2 linked regions of the Notamacropus eugenii genome follow. The protein of the gene in region 1 purifies or fractionates together with the protein of each later gene. This does not show direct contact. Links are inferred from orthologs where the notes say so. Each region holds a gene or a part of one and is shown in the gene's direction. Other genes may lie near its edges. The genes, in order: ETV6 and LRP6.

Region 1 (12,095 bases):
ACTCTGTCTCCTATTGGATTCTGCCACTCTAAAATTTGTTCAGATTCTCTTTTTAGAGGTATCTGAACACGTTTGTCTTAGAATTTAGGTGGGTAGTTGCTCTCACTTGGCCATTTTGACTCTGCCTCCTACCAACCTTTTTTAAAAAAATTTTTCTTAATATTTTATTTTTCCCCAATTACATCTAAAAACAATTTTTTTTGAAATTTTGAGTTCCAAATTATTTCTCTCCCTCCTAACCCCCACCCTCATTGAGAAAGCAAGCATAATTCCAAATTCCTCTCCAGAATGGTTGAATCATTTCACAACTCCCTCAACAATGCATTTGCTGTACACATTCTCAAAGCAGTTAGAGTTCTTGTGTGAGAGACTCAGTCATGCACTAAAGACCTTGTATAAAAGGGATGAGCTTTCTTAGAACAGATTAGAAATTCTGAGGATTTGGAAGAGCAGATGAAACAGAGAGCTCCTACAGGGGCTGAAATTGAAAGAATCTTCAGGGCAACTAATGAAAGGAGAATGAACAATTAGGACTGATTTGTGGCAGAGAAAGTAGACGTGGAAGAGGGTCTTCAACCTTACTGACATGTCAGAATGGCAGCTTGACTGATGACAACAGTGTATCCACTTCCAAGAGAAATTCCGGAAAAAGATCTGCTCTCCCTCTCCCCCTCACTTTCTTTTCTGGTGACCATCTATCCAGAGACACTATAATATAAACTGCAGTTTTCTAAATGTTTCCAGTAATCTGAATTTTTCCTTAACCACAAAAAGGTCAAATAGACGTTAATGTAAATTAAGACTTTGAACCTTTGCCTATGTGTTAGGAATTTTCCTGACCAGGAGTTTGGAGTAATTGTGATGGAATTCACAACTATTAGTCTTTAAATACACTCCCTAAAGCTGCAAAAGAGGGAACTACATGGATAGTAGGGGCCATTATTCTGCCCCAAGACGTAAAATGAACTAATTATTGTAATACTTATTAAATTTCATTTTGCTAGTTTTAACCCATAATTCCAGCCTAATCATATCCTGATTCTGTCAACTGATATATTAGCTATCTCTTTCAGTTTTCCGTAAAATGTCTTCCTAAAAACCATTGATGACAATATTGAATAGGCTAGGAATACGGAGAGCTTTGTAAATATATAATGACTTCTCTTCAGGTTGACCTTAATGAGTCTGTCAGGGGCCATTGCCAGTTGTCCTGACCTGTGTCTTGCCACTGGACTCAGATGGCCCTGGAGGACAGAGCGAGGCTTATGACTTTGCACAGCCCCGTCTCAGTTAGATGCAATTCACTTGTAAGTCAAGACATCACCTCCTGATATCATTGGTCCTCCTGGAGAATGAAGGACAAACAACAAAAATGAATTTGTCAATACTCTTTAGGTTTAGTTGCCCAATCAGTTTTGAATTCACCTAACTCTTGTCTACCATCCCATATCTATCCCGTATGCTTCCATCTTGGCTATGAAGATATATCAGTGCAGACCAGATGACCAAAGAGCCATAGCAGCTCTGCAACTGCTATTTAAAAAACAATCAGAGAACTCACACAGGTTATGAAAACCACAGTTAACTCTAAAAATAAAATAAAACAAAATAAAATCAAAGAGCTAACAGTGGTTATAAGCAAAAAGCTTTCTTTATTCTGTTAGAGGAGGGAACGAGACACATATATGCCATGATCCCCTCACCCTCCACCTCCCCAGTTGGAGAATTGCTTTTGTGTGAACATAGCTCAATTCTTACACGAGTGGCTATGCAGTGAGCTGTAGCCCTGACAATGGAGGAGTAACAGCAGCAATGAAACAAGTTTTATTCATAGCAGGACTTCGTAACCAGAACACAGGTACCTGCTGCTGGTGTGAAACGATTCTGGGATTGTGCAGTGGCTGAGTTCATCCAGAGGGTGAGCTGCTAAGCTCAGGGCACAGTTTGCTTGATGGGTCTTAGCTCTGGAAAACAAGGTGTCTCCCAACAGTAAAAAGAGAAAAGCAAAAAGAGAGGGGTGGTCTTAGCATGGGGATCCCAACATTTCCTCTTCTTGGCCAAAGGGAGGGGGTCTGAAAGAACCCATTCTATTCTGGCCAAGAAAGGAGAGGCAGGTATAAACCAAGATGCCATTTGAGACCAGTTTGGCCAGGATGAGACAGGATGAGATGTCCCAGTTCAGGGACAGATGTAGTCTTAGGTTGGTGAGCTATGGGGTTAAGGTGGCAAATCTAACAATTTATTTAGCCCTTCCCCTTTGCAATGATGGAAAGGTATTTTCATCCCAGGAGGTCAGTTCCTTGACGGGGGCTTATCGGCAAAGTGAGTCCCAGGAAGGAGAACCAAGACTGTAGAGGGAGAAAATGCCAACATACTCTTGAATCAGGGCCTTGATGGTTGGACACATAACAAAAGGGAAAAGAGAAAAAACTAGGATAATATACTTAGCCTTTGTCTGGGAATCTTGGAACAATTGTCTCCTCTGGATGTTGGCTACTTCTGGGTCCTTACTAGATAAACCTTGAGGTCCCCAGAGGCTTCTGCTATCCACTAAGGAGCAAGGACTTTCTTCAAATGATCCAGGAGTCCACACCCACAAAACTGGAAACTGTAGGGGTAGTCAAAAGAACTTGGTGGGGGCTCTTAGAAACAGTTACTGATTGATCAGTATGGGGTCAGTTTTCAGATAAGATACTTTAGATGTATAATTGTGAGAAAACTCTTTGCATCAATCTTTGAATCTGAGTTTCTGGTCAGCATAACGTAGGTCCTTAGTTAAGTTTTTAAACAGCGTATAGAGATGGTCCAGTTTCCTAGCCAAACAAGGCTTGATTCAAACAATGCTATAAGGTTTTTTATAAATTCATACTCATAATTACATTGTCATGTTACATTAATGTCACATTACAGATTAAACTACTTAGAGAGCTCACAATGGACTAGTTTTGAGAAGGAGAAATTTATACGTCACCAAGAAAACTTAGACATAAATATCATGAAACAAAAGACCAAAGCAATGCACGAATTAACACCAATATGAACCAATATCAGGTCTGCTTGTATCCCGGTGATCCATTCTCAATATCCATTTAACCAGCACATTTTGAGTTTCAGATGTCTTATGTAGTTATCTGGTCCTGAAACGTCTTTTCTTGTACAATAGGTTTTATTCTCAGGACATCTATAAAAGGGTCTCTGATTTTCTGGTTCATGATCTAGAGGTTCCTAGATAATTGTGACTTAATATAGTTTGGTACAATCACTTAAATTTGGTTCTCCAATTTTGAAACTTCAGAGAATCTCAGTTTATATACCATTTGCTGTTTCTATCCTTACTTAAATCCTGTACCTGATATAAGAATACTTTTTAAAAATTTATGAAGGTCAAACTGTAAGATGAATTCTTCTGCCTTTTTAATTATTAGACAGATGCTTTAGAATTGGGAAAATAATTCTAATTCTGTTGCTTTTTTCAAAATTTACCATTCCATTTATTTAGAAAAACTGTTACATCTTTGTCTTGTTACTTTGTCTAATCATTACCCCTTTAGGAGGATAGCATCCCTACATTATATTTTGGTCATAAATACAGGTTTAAAAATTGCAAGATGCAGTTAGATAGATAGTAACTCAGAGATGTTCCTATCATTTAATAGATTTAGTATTGTATTTACAAAAATGCTTGATTATAGAAATTTGCTATAAAAGGAAAAAGAGGGACATATTTATAACATTGTCATATATCATAACAGAAGGGGAAAACTTCCTTAATTCTGTTTGATTCCAGGCATGAGTCATATCTGACATCTAATCATGAAATCACAGGGTGTTAAAAGCAAGACTCAGAATTAGCCAGGTGGGAAAACTTCTTTTTTCAGAAGGAATATAACACAATGGGGAAACAGAGTCAGGAGGATCCTATCTAAGACCAGGCCAAGGTTGTTCCCCAAACTTTTTCCTGGGCACAGACATCCAGTAACTTTAGCAGTTACTAGGCTGACAATTCAGACAACTATCCCTGTAATCGAAGTTCAAAACAATAGTAAATTACAGTCCCAAGAATTTTCTTAAATAGTAAACTTTCATAGATACAACCTAGGGCTTGAATAACTTTTCTGATATTTCCCTAACACTTAACATTTCATTTATTCTTTACAAACTAAAACTACCCATATTCTGGGGTTTCAGACATACAGCAAATACCTAAGAGTTAACTCATCATTAATATGTGGAAGCTACATCTCTGAATCACCCTATATACTTTCATAACAGCCAAAAATTTTCAAATGAAAATTTGCTATTATAGTAAACATTATTATGTGTTTTATGACAAAATATACTCCATTAAATATTTAACAGTTTTCAAATATTTCTTTTTTATCATCCTTTTAAAAGACCAATTTATAATCTAATAACATCTAGATTAAAAAGTTATTTCATCTAATAGCATATCTGTTACAATGGTTTTTCAAATTTCACAATATAAGAGAATTTAGAAATGCTATAACAAACAATAGCATGTATTTAAAACATGAAACAAAACTTCAGATGACATCAATTCAGTCAATTGAATTTCCAAATTATCCCTTATAAAAATTATTAACCTAATAACCTTTAGCATTTTAAATCCATTTTAGAGTTATCAGGTATTTAGCAATGATATTCAATTAAAGAAGTAACAATAATACAGTCCTTGGCATATGCCAGTCACGGCGTTAAGCACTTTACAATCATATCATTTTGATCCTCAACACAGTCCTGCGAGGTGGCTACTATTATTATTTTTCTCTTTCAAGATCAGAAAACTGGGGAAAACAGAGATAAGTATAGTATAAAAGTACTAAGTTTCAAGCCAAAAGACCTACGTTCATATAACTCCACTAGTTATTACCATTACTTCTATAAGACCTTGGTTTCTTCATGATGTTCATACTTGTCAGCTTTATGATCCTAAAAGCCTGTTGAAATACAGGTATGATCTGTGAATGGTCTTTTCCTCACCTACTAGTCTAGTGATCTTCCTGGCCTGCTCACTAATTCCTTGGAAAAATGACATCTTCAGCAGGCCTCTAAAGATTTATCTTGGTGCCTCCACTGTTAATACTTAAAAAAAAGGTGAGTTGGGTACATGAGCATATTGGCTCAGAGGAATGGCAGCTTCCCATTTGAAGTGCTCAGACAATATAATGTATGGGAGCAGGTTTTGCAACTGGAAGGTGCTTAACAAGGTAATTGTAAAGTTCATACTCTTAATAATTCACAGGATTCCTTTCTCCCTCTCCCCTCCCCCCAATCTGCCTGAGATCATCTTCTACCTTAAGATCCTCAAGAAAGTCCTAAGGATAAAGGGTTTTTATTTTTTTTAGGATCAGTTCCTCTAGAATGGTGCTTCCTTTTTCCTCCTGTCTTATCTACATGAACACATCCTGCCAACTTTGTAGTCCTGCAGCACATTTCAGTCGTTAGGAAGTAGCTGTTTCTTTAAAAGGACAGCACTCACTGAACGCAATTTATTTCAAAAGGGGAGGAGGTTGAGGAAAAGGAAGGGGAACTAAACTGCCTTTGATAACTGGCTACTCTTTCCTTCTCTTGAATGCAGTTTTCGTTAGAGGGGTCCCCTCCCCCAGTACTCTGAATTCAAATCAGCCTACGTCTTTCCTTTCCAGTAGGTCTATTTTCCTAGAAAAAAAAAATCTTCCTGGTTTTATCTTCTAGCCGACTTTATCTTCCTAATCCATCATTCTGGCTCAGCCTCCAGTGCTTTTGTCTCCACTGTCCCTCCCGGGCTCTCTCCAGATTTCCCTGTGTTCAGTTTGCAACCTGATCTCCCATTTCCTGGTAGATTCTCTTAAAGAGGCAGCGGTCTAGGAGAACAAAGGCTATTGTTTTATTTCCTCGTTTAGACTTCTCATCCTTAAAAGACTATCCCGGGTTTTTTATTTTTTTTACCATGGCCTTGGCGTATAGGGGGAAGAAAAACCCAACCACTCCTGCATTTTAAACGTTGCTTCCAAGGGACCAGGGGTTTTAATAAATCCTGTAGCTTCCGAATGCAAAAAAAAAAATCAATTTAACATTCTAAAATGCCCTTTATTTTTACTTATGGGATACAGTCGTTGGCACAAGACTAAAAAAAAATCTGAGGGCATAAAGGGTTGCTAAGCCCGTACTATTTTTTATTTCCTTTTGCTGGTTTCCTTATTTCCTCCTCTTCCCCTCCCCCCAGGGATGCATCGGCCTTTCGAAGTTGGGCGCTCTCCTTCCTCTTAGTTTCTACACTTTCACCTGTTTTATCTGCAGCCCCTCCTCCCCCCTCCCCACCCCACCCCCTCCGCCCCCCGCCTGCCTCCCGTCCTGCGTTTATTTCCCTGATGCCTGGCTGTAACCTGAGCTTTTATTTCCTGGTGGCTCCTTTAAGAGGCTGAGCTCTTTGCTGGGAATTCACGTCAGTTTCAGCACCGAAACTCTCAAGATCAATGAGCATAGAGGTTTCTCAGTTCGCCTTTCAGTTTCTCTCTTCCAGGAAGGAAAACATTGAGAGAGAAGAGAGGAGAAGGAGGGGGAGGGAGAGAAGGAAGGAGGCAGAAGGAAGAGGAGGAGGAGGAGGAGAAGGAGGGGGGGGGGACGGACGGACAAGCCCGAGAGAGACCCAGATAAACAGTCTCATCCACCAGACTAGCTCCCAGCCGACCCAAATACACCTCCCTCCGAGGTCCCCTGACCCCAGCCCTCCTCTCTTCCCCTTCTTCCCCCCCTCACCCCGACCTCTTTTTCCCAGCCCCCCGGAAAAGAACTGCCAGGCTGCCTCTTCTGCTGGAGGGCAGAAGCCGCAAGATTCCCGGGGTTTGTTTTTTTGGGGGGGAAGGTGGTGTTGGTGAAGATGGTTGAAGAAACTTCTTAAATGATCGCATCTGGCTGGCTGTTTGGAGGATTTCTGGGTTGGGGAAGAGGAAAGGAAAGTGGAAAAAAACTGAGAACTTCCTGATCTCTCTTGCTGTGAGACATGTCTGAGACTCCAGTTCAGTGTACCATTAAGGTAAAGATCTTTTTCCCCCTCCTCCTCCTCCTCCTCCTCCTCTTCCTCCCTGTTTTAAAAAAACCTTTTGGCTCGACCCCCGGGGGTGGGGGGTGAGGGGGAAATCAATGTTTGCTGGTTTCTTAAAAGTGGGTTCGTTTGCAGTTCCATTCGCGATCAATCTCTGGGGCTGAAGGGAAGGAGATGCAGCTTGCCGCCTATACCCTTTAATTTAACCTTGCTGTTTGTCTCCCCCCTTCTCCCTTTCCCCCCTTGTTTTTTCTTTCCCCCCTCCCCCTTTCTTTTTGACAATGAAAAGCTTTGTCACAATTGGTCAAGAAAAAAAAAGCCAGGCTTGTTTTTTGGACTGTAAAACACCCTCAAGTGATAAGTGCTGCTTTTAAAAACCCTGCCTCTGTATGTGTAACCCTAACATGTGGACGGGGGGAAATTAACTTTTATTCTGAGAAGGGTGATTTTCTCTCTCTTTCTTTAAAAAACCTAAACTTCTTTACCCTGTAATGCTGGTTGAATCCTTTCTTTTCCAAGGATTGAACGTTCTCTTCCCTCTGATTGTAATTAAAAGCTGCAATTTTGAAGGCACTGGAGAAAGAATCCTAGTGGCAGCTTTTCTTAGCATTGCACAATGAATGTTTTTGACTTTTTTTTTTTAAGGTGAATGAAGTAGTTTGTGATCAGTGCATAGGAAAGTTGAGTAGGACCCAAGTAGATAACTCCTGTGGTGCATAAGGAAAATAGAGCTATGGAAGCTGCCATAGCTAAAATGACCTTCTGTATTTGACAGGACACCGAGGAAATCTTAAACTGTAGAATTTTCCTTGTTTTCTGTCCATTCCTTACCCCCCACTTCCCCATCGGAGTTGTAAATGCAGCTGCCGAGTGTGTTTGCAAACACAGCACTCACTCTGAGTAGTGGTGTAATTAAGGTTGGTGGTACTGTTCTGGGCTGCTTCTGAAAAGTTGATCATGTGGGAACACAAGAAGGGCTGTACATTTCCCCACTCACTTTTTTCCATCCGTCTATTTATTTGATTGGCTCACTTTAAGGAGAGCATGGAAGAGCAGACTCCTTCCTGTGCAGTTCCTTCGCTTTCTTATAAGGAAGTTTGCTGGTAGCTTGGCCTGTTTTAATGTGATAGCAACACCTCGTTTTAAGTGGGTACAAAAGAAAGAAATATAAAAATCAGTTTCCACAGTCTTCAGGAAAAGCTTCTGAAACCCTCCTTCCGTATTGAGGTGCTGAGTTTTATTTAGGAGTTACCTGTTGAGAAAGTCAGTATTCTTTCTTATGCTATGTATGTGTGTGCGGTGTGTGTATATATATATATATATATATATATATATATACACACACACACACACACATATATACACACACCGCACACACATACATATATACACACACACAGACTCCCTCTCAGGAGGAAGTTAAATTTTCATGAGTTTTTAGATTGGGCTAAGGACAGAGAGGTACTTGGATCGTGATTTTTAAATTTGTTTTTGTTGTTATTTGTTTTGGTGGGAGCAGGTCTGGGGTTTTTTGCCTTAACAAAAATAACTAGTGAAACTTTTTGGTCTTAGATATTCATTCATTCATGTGTGGTTGTAGTTGTAGATTTGGAGCACCTCAGTTAAAGAACTTTTAAGTCTTCTCACACTTTTAAGAGCACATTTCTTTTACTGTGCAGATTCAATTCTCCACTGTGTTTTGTGAAATATTGTGGTATGGATAATCTAATTTATTTCATGCTTCATAACACAAACTGAGGTAGCTAAATAATAGGGTTTTAAATCAGCAAATTATATTTAGCCCTATAGCAATAAATCTAACATGAGGAAAATCTGTACTACTAACAGGGCAGTATTTTTAGGGGGAAAATACTTTTCTTGATTTCTCTCATAGAGACTGCATATATCCACTGTAAACAAGAGCTCAGATGGTGGTTGTGCCTGAGCCAGAAGGACTACTATTCTTTGTACCAGAATAGAAAAGAAATTCTGCAATTAAGAAAGAAAAAATTTAAAAACTCAAAGCCCAAACCCAAAGCCAAACATTATTTCAAGTGCATCTTAGAAATCACGTTCATAGTTTCAATATCAATTTTATTCTTATTATTGCTTCCTCTGGCATTTAATCAGGTGTTGTCACTCTTTATGATAGAGGAATAGGTGGACTTGTAATCTAGGATATCTTTAAAAAATTTATTGGTGGGTGTGTGTACATATATACATATATATCTATGTATATATAATTTGCTTAGATGGTATGTACTTTTAGATGTTCAAGAAAAGTTCTCACATTTGCACATTGGTTTGATCAAGAATTTTAAAAAGTTGTAGGGTCAAGAACTGAAATTATATCAGACTATTTGGAAAGGGTTTGGGAATGTTTCATTTCTTGGGATGTGATACAGTTACTGCATAATAAAGTATTTTTGCTGGCAACAAACAAAATCTTTGCATGGCTTCCAGATTCCAGTAAACAACAAACTTTTCTTCGGAGTGGGGAATGAATGGCAAACATGTTTGAAGGACTGTCTGATGGATCAGAGCCTGTGTGTTGTGTAGAGGAGTCTTCTGTTGCGTGTGGGAGAGTATCTTTCATGTTCCTTCCCTCCCTCCCAACAGTGATCCTTACTTTCTTTTATTCTCTTCCACAAGGGGTAAATCAGTTGGCACAGTTAATCCCTCAGCAACTGGTGTGGGAAAACCTGGAAAGACAGGGGCTGAACCGAGCCCTCCAGTTTAGGAAGGTGCTTTGTTTGCTACTGAGAAACTTTTTTTTTTTTTTTGTGACTGGAAGGAAAGTATAGTAGAATTTGAGGTGGAGGCCTCCCTCCACATGAGTGTTTCTGAATCTGCCAGTCAGCAACACTTTTGGAGTCATCTCTTATCTAGGTGGTGGTTGCTAATGCACATCTCTTAACTGGCTTTGATGCTGAGTACTTTACCAGCATTTTCTCATTTAGCAAGTAAAGATCCCTTTCTGCCCTACTGTAAAATAGTGTGTAATAGTACTATTAGCTTAATTGACTTGTCCAAGGTTGGGGGGGAAAGTTAACTGAGATAGAATTGGAATCCTTATCTCCAAGTCAGATTGCCTCCTAGCCTCAGTAGGCCATAGGAACATAGATTTAGTGCTTGAGGGAAACTTAGAGGTTTGTTCTATGGCACCGATCTAACTCTTTTAACAGTTGCAAGCATGGGATCTTAAGAGGAGACGGAGTGCTGTGGAACGTCAGGAAGACCCAGATTCAGATTCTCTTTGACACCTATGTGTGACCATGATTATCTTCTTTGCCTCTCAGGTTAATCATCTGTAAAATAGGGATAATTAATAATAGCTGTTGTGCTTAATCTCAGGATTGTTGGAAGACTCAGATAAAATAATATATACTTTGCAAATTTAAAAATGCTATATCTGATCCATTGCCCTATCTTATCATTTCTACCCTCCCAACATCTCTTTATATGTTCCTTTCTCTTCACTTATATAGCCATCACTAGTTTCAGGTCTCATTCTCTGTAGATATGGCCAAAAAGTAGTTATTTTTTACCTGGACTCCCTGCTCCATTCAGCTGCCAAGATGATTTTTCTTGACCATGTCAACTCAATGAATTCCAGTGGCTCCCCATTACCTCTAGGATCAAATACAAAGTCTTCTGTTCTTTTGGCATTAAAATTCCTTATAACTGGGCCCCTTCCAATCTTTAGAGTTTTCTTTTCACTGTTTCTCTTGCTGTCTGTCACTGTCTTTTGTCTGTCTTTCCAGCACCCAGGAGACCATTTAAGTAATGGGACTGTTGTCTAGTTAAGTCACTAATGCTTTCTGTGTGCGCTCTCTACCTCTAGGTGTAACACACCACCCTCATTGACTCAGGAATTTTCTCAACGATGATCTCCAAAGATGGACCATGCTATGATTCTGCTTTGTGGCACTGGGATTTAAAATCTGCTTTCTTTTGATTATTAAGGGAGGAAATTGGGTGAGGATAAATAAAAAGCCAACAGAGAAATTTGAGAAATAACGAGCTGTCAGGCTGCTTTAATTTTTCCTGGTTTCTTGGTGAGGAAGAGTCTTAGAATGTTCAAACTTGCTGGATACCTTAGAGGTCACCTTGTCCATCCAAGCCATTTTAAAGTTGGGGATATGGAGGCCTAGAAACAATTAAATTAAGCAGTTTGCTGGCCATCTGTTTGGTCAACAAGTGTTTGTTGAGCACTTGCTCTAAGCTTACTACTGAGTTGTAAGGAAAGAAAAAAACAAGGATTGTCTCTGGGCTCAAGGAGCTCTCATTCTAAAGGAGGACAGATGCGTATACACACATGCACACATGCACACACACTCACCGATAACTAGACATATACAAGACATACAAAACATTGATTGAACGGTGTCAGTCAATAAGCATTTATTAAGTGCCTGTTGTGTGCCAGGTACTGTGCTAAATTTTGAGGTCACCAAAAGATATTTCTTGGGATTAGAACCCAAGTATACGTTTTCCACCCCCTTGACGATATGTTGTGCCTTAGACATAAATTTATAATAGTATGCTTCTGCCACTACTAGAACCAGAACGAGCTGGATACACATTGGATTATGGGCAGCTTTGCCATTTTCCCAGACTATTTTATTTTGGAGTCAGAAGATACCTGGGTTTGAAGCCCAGCTAAAACAATTACTAGTCATGTGACCTTGGGCAAACCATCCCTTGTCTTTAAACCTCAGTTTCTCCTTCTATAAAATGGTAGTAATATTTGCAGTTCCTAGTCATTGGGTTGTTGGGAGGAAAGTGCTTTGTAAACCTTAAACAGCAATGCAAATGTGAGTTTTAATTGCATATTGGTTGTGTGGAGAGTTTTTTAGCAGAGTGCTGGCACATAATAGGTGCTTAATACATGTTAGTTAACTGACTGGATTTGGAATCCAGAGACTGGAGTTTAATAGTGATTTTTTTAATTGTTGTGATAAAATTACTAGAATTCTCATTACTATGTTAACTGTTAATTGTTATGTTGAAATTACTAGAATTCTCAATACTGTGTTAAATAAATAGT
Region 2 (12,485 bases), about 610 kb from region 1:
CAGAATCTGGGAAGATCTGTATCTAGAGCCAAATTTCTTGGGATAATATATTTACGGTATAGTGGGTGACTCTTGGTTTCCTGCTAGGATATAGGAACGTAACTACTGATTGATACCCTGGATACTTCCAATTAAGAACATGTTGTGCTAGGCCTATGGGTTTTGTGATTTAGTCTTCTGATGAGAGTGATGTAAGAAAATCATGAAAAAACTTGGTAAAGAAGACACAAAAAAAATACTGAAGAAAATAACACCTTAAAAATAGACTAGACCAAATGGCAAAGGAGATCCAAAAAGCCAAAGTGGAAAAGAATGCCTTGAAAAGAGAATTGGCCAAATAGAAAAGGAGATCCAAAAACTTACTGAAGAAAATCTCTACTTAAAAATTAGAATGAAGCAAATGAAAGTTAATGACTTTATGAAAAATCAAGAAACAATAAAACAAAACCATAGAAATGAAAAAAATAGAAGACAATGTGACATATCTCATTGGAAAAACAACTGATCTGGAAAATAGACCCAGGAAAGATAATTTTAAAATGATTGGTCTACCTGAAAGCCATGATCAAAAAAAGAGCCCTGGCATCATCTTTCAAGAAATTATCAAGGAAAACTGCCCTGATATGCTAGAACCAGAGAGTAAAATAGAAATGGAAAGAATCTACAGATCACCTCCTGAATGAGATCCCAAAATGAAAACTGCCAGGAATATTATAGTCAAATTCCAGAATTTCCAGGTCAAGGAGAAAACATTGCAAATAGAGAGAAAGAAACAATGCAAGTATCATGGAGCCACAGTCAGGATAACACAAGATTTAGCAACATCTATGTTAAAGAATCAGAAGGTTTGGAATATGATATCCTGGAGGGCAAAGGAGCTAGGATTACAACCAAGAATCACTTACACAGTAAAACAAAGTATAATCTATGAGGGGAAAAAATGGACATTCAGTGAGCTAGAGGACTTTCAAGTATTTTTGAGAAAAGACTAGAGCTGTCTAGAAAATTTGACTTTTAAATACAAGACTCAAGAGAAGAATCAAAAGATAAACAGAAAAGAGAAATTATAAGGTATATAGTATATTTAAACTGTTTACATTCTTATATGGGAATATGATATTTTTAAAACATATTTCATTATTAGGGTATTTAGAAGGAGCATATATAGACAGAGGGCACAGGTGTGAGTTGAATATGAAGAGATGATATCTAAAAAACAAAACTAAGAGGTTAGAGAGAAATATATTGGGAGAAAGAGAAAGGAAGAGGTAGAATGTGATAAATTATTTCACCTAAAAGAGGAAAGAAAAAGCTTTTATAGTGAAGGGAAAGAGGGGGTAGGAGAGAGGGAATAAGTGAATCTTACTCTCATAAGAATTGGCTCAGAGGGAATAACAAACACACTCAACTGAGTATAGAAATCTATCTTAACCTACAGGAAAGTAGGAGGGAAAGGGGATAAAAGAAGGGGAGGGGTGATAGAAGGGAGGGTAGATTGGAGAAAAGTGTAGTCAGAAGCAAAACACTTTCAAGGACAGGATGACAGGAGAGAGAGAATAGAATAACTGGGGGGGGGGGAAATAGGATGGAGGAAAATACTGTTAATAGTAATAATTGTGAAAAAATTTTAAAGCAAGTTTCTCTCATAAAAGCCTCATTTCTCAAACATATAGAGAACTGAGTCAAATTCATAAAAATAATAGAAGTCCCCAATTGATAAATAATCGAAAGATGTGTTCAGTTTTCAGATGAAGTAATGAAAACTATTATAGCCATATGAAATAATACTTTAATTCACTATTGATTGGAGAAATGCAAATTAAGACATTTTCATACTTATTAGATTGGCTAACAGGACAGAAACGGTAAGTGATAAATATTGGAGGGGATGTGGGAAAAATGATACATTAATGCATGGTTGGTGGAGTTGTGAACTGATTCAACCATTCTGTAGAGCAATTTGGAACTATGCCCATGGGGCTATAAAAGCATGCATAACCTTTGACTTAGCAATACCACTACTAAGTCTGTGTCCCAAGAAATACACACACACACACACACACACACACACACACACACACGCATGAAAAGGACCTATATATACAAAAATATTTATAGCAGCTCTTTTCTGGGGGCAAAGAATTACAAATTGATGGGATGCCCATCAATTGAGGAATGGCTAAACAAGCTGTGGTATGGGATTATGATGGAATACTTTTGTACTATAAGAAATGATGAGCAGGATACTCTCAGAAAAACCTGGAAAGAAGACTTGCATGGGTTGATGTCAAGTGAAATGTACTGTGTATAAAATAACAACAATATTGTAAGCTGTGAATGACTTAGTTATTTTAAGCAATTCAATGATCCAAGACAACTCTAAAGGACGTATGAGGGGCAGCTAGGTGGTGCAGTGGATAGAGCACCAGTGCAGGAGTCAGGAGGTCAAATCTCACCTCAGACACTTGACACTCACTAGCTGTGTGACCTTGGGCAAGTCACTTAACCCCAACTGCCTCATCCTGGGTCATCTCTAGTCATCCTGATGAATATCTGGCCACTGGATTCAGACGGCTCTGGAGGAGAAGTGAGGCTGGTGACCTACACAACTCTCCTTCACTCAAAATAAAGTCAAGTGCAAGTTGTCATCATTTCTCTGATGGGATGGTCTTCTTTGGCAATGAAGGACAAACACACACACACACACACACACACACACACACACACACACATATAAAGGACTTATGATGAAAAAAATGCTATCCATCCCCAGAGAAAGAACTGATATTGTCTGAATACAGATTGAAGAATACTTTTTAAACTTTATTTTTTTTTTAGGTTTTTTTGGTCTATATTTCCTTTCACAACATAACTATTATGGATATGTTTTGCATATCTACACATGTATAAGCTATAGTGAATTGCTTGCCTTCTCAATGGGAGCAAACAGTGAGGAGAGAGGAAAAAGAGAATGTAGAACTCAAAGTTTAAAAAAAAACGAATGTTAAAAGTTGTTTTTACATGTATCTGGGGAAAATAAAATACCAAATAAAATTTAAAAATAGTATTTAAAAAGGTTTCTACTAATTTCACCAGCATAGATACCAATAGCTGGGTAGAGGTCCATAAAGAGAACAGTCATTCAACAGTGGGAGTTTCTGGCCTGGAGAAGAAAATTCAGCCCCCCACCTGGGCTATGGAATTTCTAACAACTTTCCCTATATTTTCAAGCAGCTGTAGCTTTTTCACCATTTAAACCAGAAGAGAGACAAAATATTCTCTCTTGCCTCTGTTCTGAAACCCTTGTTTTAGTATATTTGCACATTACAATTGATTGAAGGAACAAAGGACAGAAATGAGAGAGAAGCTGGAAATTCAGCTCACAATGATTAATATTTAGCATATAGAAATGGGAGCATGTTTTCATGGCTTTGGCATGGGTTTTTTGAGACATTTTTATATGTATATTTCTACAGCCAATGGTAACAAATAGGAAAAAAGAATTTAATATGACAATTCTTGATTCTGCTGAGGTAGTCTCCAAATTTTAAAGCTTGCTCTACTGGTGCAGCAAATAAGTTAACATTTATTCAGGGCTCTTTTTAGTATTTCAAATACTAGGATGTCTAGCATCTATTAAGTTGAATAGCAGGGAAATACAAAGTACTAGAAAATCATTACACCTGCTTAAAGGGAACTGGGGTTTAGTATTTAGGAACTGAAGAAAGCCAAGCTTCTTTAGTACCCAAAGATCTCTCTGATCAGGCTAGAACATATATTGAGGAAATGAGGGGTGTACAGAAAGCATTTCCCTTGAATTCTCTCACGTTCTAATTTCTGAAGAATAAGCAATCTGAGAGGAGAGGACAGAGAGGTTGTCTTGCTCAAATTCAAAAAGGTAGTAGGAGGTAGAGCTAGGGATTAAACCCAGGTCCTGTGCCTCCAAGTTAGTTGATCTTTCCACTGTATCACATCACTTTTCCGTCCTCCTGAGTCTTCTCTAGGCTAAATACACCCAGTTCCTTCATATAACATAGTCTCAAAGATTTTCATTATGCTGGTTGACTTTGGATACTCTCCACTTATCAATGTCCTTAAACTGTGGTACTCATAACTGAACTTGATATTTCAGATGAGAACAGAGTACAGTAGGCTTATGACCTCCTTATTCTTAGAGGATATGCCCAGGAACACTCTAGTTTTTTTGACTGCCACACTCCTGACTCACAGCCCACTAAAACTCAGATCTTTTTCAGAACAATGACTGTCTAACCATGTTTCCCCCATCTTGTACTTACAAAGGTTCCTTTTTTCCCTATCCATGTAAGACTTTACATTTATTCCAACTGAATTTCATTTGATTAGATTCAGCCACTTCAAGATCATTTCCATCCCTAATACTATCATAAAGTGCCAGCTGTCACTTTATGCTTTTTGTTATCGGCAAATTCATTGAACATGCAATTTATACCTTTATCAAAGTCATTCATAAACATGTAGAACAGAATGGGACCAAGCATAGTTTCAATTGCCTTCAGCCATTGACAAATGGTGTATAAATCCTATCAGGATGACTGAGGAGCTTCTTCAATTTGATACAGCACTAGCAATGGCTCATACTTTATTATGTTATCAGGTAATTTAGGAAAGCTTTCCAGTTTTATTCAGGTCTCCTGATCTATGTTTTTACACCCTAATTCTGTAGGGGGATTTCTTGCTGAATCCAGTCCTCTTGGCCATTGAGGACTCTCAGCACAGTTGAACATAAATTGAACACTAAAGATGAAGTAGTACCTGAGATCCAATAAGAGCTTTCTGATTTTTTTAAGTAGCATTTATTTCTTTTTAATAATTTATTTATTTATTTTTAATTTTCAACATTCACCTCCATAAGATTTGGAGTTTTAAATTTTCTCCCTCTCCCCCTAATCCTCCATCTCCGAAGATGGTGTGCAATCTGATATGGGCTCTACTTATACATTCATATTAAACATATTTTCACTAGTCATGATATAAAGAAGAATTAGAACTAATGGGAGGAACCATGAGAAAGAAGAAACAAAACAAGCGAAGAGCAAATAGTGTGCTTGCATCTGCATTCAGTCTCCTAAGTTCTTTCTCTGGATGTGGGTAGCATTTTCCATATGAGTCTTTTGGAGTTATCTTAGATCCTTGTATTGCTGAGAAGAGCTAAGTCTTATCTAAGTCAGTCATCATACAATGTGGCTGTTACTGTGTACAATGTTCTTCAGGGGTCTGCTCATTTCACTCAGCATCAGTTCATATATGTCTTTCCAGGTTTTTCTGAAGTCTGCCTACTCATCATTTCTTATAGCACAATACTATTCCATTGCATTCATATACCACAGCTTGTTCAGCCATTCCCCAATTGACAGACATCCCCTGAGCTTTGTTTTTTTAAGCCTACAGTGGTATTCAGCATCCTCCATACACTGATCTTTCAAACTATTGAAATTGTCAGGTAAAGCCTGATTCTATGACAAAGTTGAATTTTAACTGAAGTCCATGAACTTCTTTCTCCAATATTTTTTTATAGCTATTTTAATAATATGTTTCCTTTATAATACTATGTTATTTTATTTTATGTATTTAATTATTCTGATGAATCCACAGGCTTCAGCACACTTTCCTTTCCAAGAATGCCTATTTCTATTAGGGTGGAACCAATGGCCATATTTTACAAAATTACAACTTCGAAGACTGCAAATTCCAACAAGAATTTGAATACATATGTCTGAGGAAAGAGAGAAATTCAAGAAGAGACAGCCAGTGAAAACACCTCGTGTCCTGTGTGAGGAACAACCGTGGCTGGGAAGAGTAGGTGGAAGGTGGAGTGGAAAGTAAGGTTTGAAAAGGAGAAGGTCAGATTATGAAGGGCTTTGAATATCAATAAGAAAGATAAAGCAAAGGAGGGTCCATGACACACAAAAAGGTAAAGAACCCCTAACTTAAAGGAACTGGGGTGAAATTTTGCTCCAAAGTTCATTCTCCGTGTGGCCTCGGGGCAAGTCATTTATTATATTAGCACCTTAGTTTTCTCCTCGGTAAATCGAGAACTAGATGGCCTTCCAACTTCGGGTCTCCGATCCCTTCCCATGCCTTAGGAGTTTTCATCTTGGGAACCTTCTCAGGCAGTTTGAAGCTCCTCTCTAAGTGTGAGAAGCTGAACTCTAGGAGTATCTGAGTTTCTGGGAGCACAGGACAAAAAAATCCAGTGGAGTTTCCATTGCCTCGGTTCCCAGACACGACTCGAAAGCACCTTCAATGCGACCAGTTTTTCAGTCCTTTCTTCCTTTTGGAAAACGCTGAATCCAATTCTCAGCTGACCAGCCCCTCTGGAGGAGCTGGGGAAGCTTTCCCCGAGTGTGGTGTTAAAACCCAGATGGGGGGAGGCCGTGAAAGGCGGATTGGAAGTGGTTGTCACTCAATAAAAATTTGTAACGCACCTACTACGTGCCAGGCATGAACTGGGGTAAAAGTCAGTCCCTGCTGTCAAGGAGCGCACCGTCTAACGCCGGGAGTGAGGTGGCGAGCAATTATGTATCCACAAGGAACAGGCTGGATACATTGTACATAATCTCAGAAGGCAGGCATTAGATTGCGTCACCGCCGGGCTCCCTTCCTCCGTCTCGTCCAGACCCCGCGACTCCCGGGATCCGCAAAGTTCACCTGCAAGGAGCTGCAGCGGCACAAAGAAGCGAAGAGCTCAGCCTCCGCCGGGCTCCGAGCCCGGAGAAAGTAGTCCCGACCACGCCAGCGCCAAGGTTGTTCCGAGGGTCGCTTCACAGCCTCTTCTCCAAGAGCGCCGAGCCCGAGAGGGAGCAAGAAAAGAATCCCATCGGAATGCGACAATGGCTTGTCCTTTTCTCCTCCTCCCCACCCCCACCCTCACCTCTCCGGCAGCAGAATTAGAAAAACAACAGTAACCACAAAACAACAAAAACCTCTTCTCTTCTTTGCCCACAAGGTGGGCTTTCTGCCTGGGGAGAGACCCAAAGAAATCTCTAGTGGTCCCAAAGCTCGCCAGCTGATTCCTTCCCGCCCCCTCGTTTGCATAGCTGAATAGGAATGGATGTCGGCCGAGGGGAGGCTCCCAGGGAGCTGGGGGAGAGGGGGAGGAGAGAAGGAGGCTGACTGGGAGCATTGAGAAAGGAGGAGGAGAGAAGGGGAGGGGGCCGGGAGGGGAGAAAGAGAAAGGCAGAGGAGGGGGAGGGCCGGGGAGCGCAGGAGAGAGCGAGCGCGGCCCGGGCCGGGCGCGGGGCTCCTTCTGCCTGTGTATCCTTGCGCCGCCGCCGCCGCCGCCGCCGCCGCCGCGCTGGGAGGAGGCGGAGGCTGAATGAGGAGCTGCGTGGAGCCCGCGGAGGAGCCGCCGCTGCCGCAGGGGGAGCGGGCTGGAGAATGGAACGAGACGCTGGCCGCCGCCGCCGCCGCCGGGGCACCCCCGAGGGAGAAGTAGCGCTGTAGAGCGGACGGCGAAGGCGGCTCCCGGGAGCGGAGCGGAGCGGGAGAGAGAGACGCAGAGAAGGGGCAGCGAGCGAGGGCCGGCGCCCGATTCTTTCTTCTCTTTCGGCCGAGCTCGGGCAGCATGACCGTGCGGGGCGGCCGCGGCGGCCCCGGCTCCTCTCCGCCGCCTCCCCCTCCTCGGGCTGCCTTGAGCCGGTGAGAGGAGAGAGAAAGCGAGGAGGCGGAGGAGGGGAAGATGGGGGCCGTCCTGAGGAGCCTCTTGGCCTGCAGCTTCTGCGTCCTCCTGAGAGGTGAGCTCCCAGTGGAGGGTGAGGAAAGACCGGGCGCGGGGGGAAGGGGGGCACGCCGCGACGCCCGAGTTAAGGAGATTTATCGTTTTTTGTTTGTGTGCCTCTTGTGTGTTGGGGGCTGGAGGGAGGGGGAGGGGCAGGGGAGGCGAGCCAGGGGGGAGAAGAGGCGAGAGGCCGGGCCTGGCTGCGGGAGAAGGAGGAGAGAAAGGGGCCCAGGAGAAGGGGCTGCAGCCTTTGGTTCAGGAGTGACACAATGCAGGCTAGCCCTTTGGGGGCTTTCTCCACCTGGACTCCAGGGGTCGGGGTCCCTCGTTCGGGGGAATCCCTGCCCGGATCTTTCCTGGCCGTGTGTCGCTCGGTGTGTGTGAGCATGTGTACCCGTGTGTTGGGGCAGCGAGGTTGAAGGGGGAATAATCATCCTAGAGGAGAGATTTCTTTGTGTTCGTTTTTTACTTTTGGAAAGTTTGAATACTAGGTGCAAGGGCTTCCTCTTCTTCCCCACCTCACTCCTATTTATTGGGGGAGAGCGTTCTAGAGTCCTCATAATTATTTTGTGCAACCTTTGTTACGATTGATAAATTAACTCCTCTTTGGGGATATAGCAGCCCTGGATGAGGACACACTTGGAAAGTAGTCGTGGTGTTCTGGCCCGGGAAGTTTTCTAATCTTTGGTTAGGAATCCATTGGATAGGTTTCCTATTTTGCCCTTGGCTAGTTCTGAGCATGCAGGTATACTAGTTGGCATCCAGTGGGAAAGTCATCCTTATGGAACAGGAACTTGAGCTAACATTTCATAGGCTCATTTGTGGAGCACCCACTGAGTGCTTGATTTGTTGTTGGATGTCAGGAACTCTCTTAGATTCTTTGCCCTTAAAATAACTAATATTCCACGATTCTTTGGTATTTTGAACTGTTCTCTGAAGTTGACACATGCTTTGTGGTTTTTTATCAGCCCTCCCTAGACGTCCTTTGCAAGATATTCACTATCCTTTTTAAAAATTAACAATGAAATAGTGATATTTCTGATGTCATTTAGCTGATAAGTTTAAGTGCTGATATTATGGTTTAGATCTTCAGTTTTTATTACTATTCTTGTTTGCACATGACCCAATTTTTTTCAGACTTCAAGCCTTCTGCCCCATGCACATTTACAGGGGTAGTATAACAACATAAAATTTAAATGCTAGTAAAATAAGTTCATTCTAAACTTACTGAATTTTCATGGAACATAAAGATAGATAATGTGTTATGAATTTAACTGGGAATTTCTACTTGCAGAAATTTATTTGGAGGGAATAGTGAAAATATGTTGGATAGATAAACATTCTTTGTTTATCTTGTATCGTACTATTATTTAACTTAATAATTATAACTCAGACACATTTGCTTCTTCAAATGTAAGTTGTAGGAGGGCAGGGACCAATTAACAAGATGACCCTAGAAGTTGGTGATGTACTGACTATGAGATGTTTGCTTAGATTGATTTTACTTTTTTGTTCTTGTTGTTTATTGAAACAGAAGAATTTTGGTGCATCCAGAAGTAGTTATCTTTTTTTGACTTAAATCTCTTTTCTGTTTTGACAGAGGTTTATAGTTAATCTGAAGTCCCATTTGTGATTTCATTGGGTTTAGGGAACTTCTGATTTGGAAACTGTCCATCCATGCCTATCTGCAACCTCTGTAATTTACAATTGGTGCCCTAGTGCCTGGGGCAGTAAGTGACTTGCCCATGTTCACCAGCTGTTATGTGTCAATACTTTTATGAAGGCCTTCCTAACTACATGGCCTTCTGTCCCTGTTATATCTTTTTTTGTGTGTTTTCTTTAGGCTTAGTTTCATCAGTGTAGCATAATACTGATTTTGTTTTTTTATACCAAAATTGTATTTTGGTATATCTATATAGTTATTATTTAATTATTTATCCATTCATCCTTATTTTATTTGCTCTCTTGCCCCAAGACTTCTATCTTGATCCTCTGGGCCATAGTCACTTATTCACAATATCTAACCTTAGAATTCAAATTTAAAAATATATATATATATTTATATATATGATCAGTCTCTGTTTACCTGTTTGCATCTAAGGAACTATGATGCTAGTGATCCTGATTCCCAGCCAGGTTTTATTTCTAGCCCTATTTGGGGAGAGGGAACTGGCTGAAAAGTGGAGAGGATTTTTGCTGCCCCATAGCCAAGTTTTGTGACAGGGACTCTTTCTATGTCACACCGTTTTTTGCTGTTTGTATTAATGCTTTCCTTCAGTGGGTGGGAAGAATTAGAGATGAAAGATGTTATTTTTTTTCTTACAGCTTGATTTGCCAAGTGAGGAAACGGTTTCAGAGAGGTTAAATGACCCTTAAAGGTGAATAGCTTGTAACTGGGATCTTAAATACTACATCATGCCACCTCCCAGAGTATTGACTGTAGTGGGAAAATTTCTTTTAGTGCTCTATTGGTGTATGTTTATCCTGTTTCATGAAGATTAAACATACCCTACATGCAGAAACATTTCCGATCAGAGTATTGAATACTCTCTAATTTGGTTAATGTATAGATGGCAACTAACCGAAACAAATTCTTTACTCATCCTGAATGACAGTCTATGCTTAAATAAAAATGATTTATAGGTGGAAGGATAGTGATGGATATGACCAAGTTCATTTTAATAGAAGAAAAAGTTTGATTCATGAATTACAGAAGTGACTCTCTAGAACAGATTTGTTCCTTAAAATCAAATATTAATTTGGCTTGAGAATAAAATTACTGGCCAAGTTTTTCTTTCACATTAGTATCCAGATGAGAGGCTGTAAAACTTTAGGTTTTAGTATTTTGTTTTGTTTTGGAGGAGGGAGGGAGAGAAAAAATTTTTATTCTTGTCTTTTGTTTTTAAATCAGTGTTCATGTAGTTTTCTTCCAGTTCTCTCTTCTTCTCTCTCTCTCCCCTGCCCCACACTTACCCCTCACTGAGTCCCCTTCTAAGAAAAACAGTGAAGCAAAAACTAGGGGGTGGGATGGAGTATATTTCATTTGTTCTTTGAGAACAAGCTTGCATATTAAAATTATTCTAGCATCTTGTTAGCTTGAATATAACTGCAGACTTTTATTGGTCAAATTTTCAAAGTTGGGTTTATTCATAGTTTAGACTAAAGAACTGTGCTTTACTGCTTAATTTTTTTCCCCAGTTAACAAGCATTTATTTTGTTTCCCATTCCCCCTCCCATTAAAACAACAACAGAATGAAAATCTTACTCTTGTGGCAAATATAGTCAAGCAAAACCAGTTCCCAGTACTTTTCATTAGTGTTTGTAACAATTTTTTTTTTTTTGTCGGGATCTGACCCGTTGTATCGCAAGTTGTAGATTGTGGGGTCATGTTTAAATGCAGTAAGAACATCAGTTATTTTCATTACAGTAAGCTTGCTTTGCTTTTAGTGTATAGTATCAGTGTTGAAAGTTAGCTTTAAAAAAAATTTTTGGAATAAACACCCTGAAGGGGAGACCAAGAGAGTAAAAATGAGATTTTTAATTTGGAAACTAACTTTGAAGATCATTATATTAAAACAATGATCAGCAAATAAGTAGATGTGTGTATGAATATAGATAAAATAAGTAAATGTTTGAGTTTGAACAGTGATTTTAATTTATTAAATTTTTTTCAGGGAGTTGTATTATTTACACACAACAAACTTGTATATGTAGAAAAGTGTTGAACTGACAGAATTACTCTTGCCTAATGGTTGGGCACACACATGCACACACACATGCACACACACATACACACACACAGTGTTAGTATCTTGTATTTGTCACTGTGATTTCATTAGCATAGGGAACTTTCCAATGAGGAAACTTTCTTTACTTTATGTCTGTAATTATTCAGTAATTTACAGTCTTAGTGACTTGACTAGGACATTGAGAGATTAAGCTTGTATACATCAGAGTTGGGACTGGACCCCTGACTGAAATCCTGGAACACTATCTGCTTGTCTTACCTTAGCTCTTATGTCCTTATATCTATATATATGTATGTCACCATTTTTTATCCTGTGATATTTAGTGTAAATGATTTTGAAAAGCTGTCAAATCAGTGAAAGAGGAGAATAAGGTATTTTCCTCCTTGCAAAATTAATGCACCTTTAGAATCACTTTATAGATTGTTTCTGAAATGTTTAAAAAGTGAAAAACTTACTTTAATCTATCATTCTTTTGCTTTTTGCTCAGCTTATTATTTTGGAGGGGGGGACCCTGTCAATCATCCCCCATTCCACCCATACTTTTTCTTTCCTCAGTACCTTAAGTATTTTCATACCAATAAATGGCATAAGGAATCAGGAATAAGAATGAAAAATAGTAGCATCTTCATGTGTTGTTTTTGGTGAAAAGCAATGGTACTGGTTAATATGATTCTACTAGCTCAAATGAAGTATACTCTTTTTTTTTTTTAGATGAATATATTGCTTAGAAGGGTCATGAATGGTCATAGGATCATATATCTGTCAGTGACTGGAAAGGACATTTCTTTTTATAGATGAGGGGAAATGATTTGCCCAAGGTCTTGCAGCTGGGATTTGAACTGGGATGTGATCACAAGTTTAGTACTATTTGGAACTAATTTTGAGAAAAGAATTGGTTTGAGAGGAGAAGAAATGTGAAGTCACATGACATGTTAACAGGAAATATGCAGCTTGATTTTTTTGTATTCTAGTAATGG

What was found.
Region 2: the proteins of ETV6 (region 1) and LRP6 purify together in Homo sapiens (affinity purification with mass spectrometry; 3 studies listed by BioGRID and IntAct, counting the BioPlex papers as one, with this or other methods). This does not show direct contact. The link is inferred for Notamacropus eugenii from reciprocal best matches to the Homo sapiens genes ETV6 and LRP6.

The regions. Positions count from the first base shown.
Region 1 is NC_092874.1:199,376,755-199,388,849, reverse strand, and holds the start of ETV6 (transcription factor ETV6), read left to right. Parts: upstream 1-6,390; 5' UTR 6,391-7,003; coding exon of another isoform or gene 7,004-7,036; intron 7,037-12,095. UniProt on the Homo sapiens protein: Transcriptional repressor; binds to the DNA sequence 5'-CCGGAAGT-3'. Plays a role in hematopoiesis and malignant transformation.
Region 2 is NC_092874.1:198,767,833-198,780,317, forward strand, and holds the start of LRP6 (low-density lipoprotein receptor-related protein 6), read left to right. Parts: upstream 1-7,656; 5' UTR 7,657-7,720; coding exon 7,721-7,775; intron 7,776-12,485. UniProt on the Homo sapiens protein: Component of the Wnt-Fzd-LRP5-LRP6 complex that triggers beta-catenin signaling through inducing aggregation of receptor-ligand complexes into ribosome-sized signalosomes.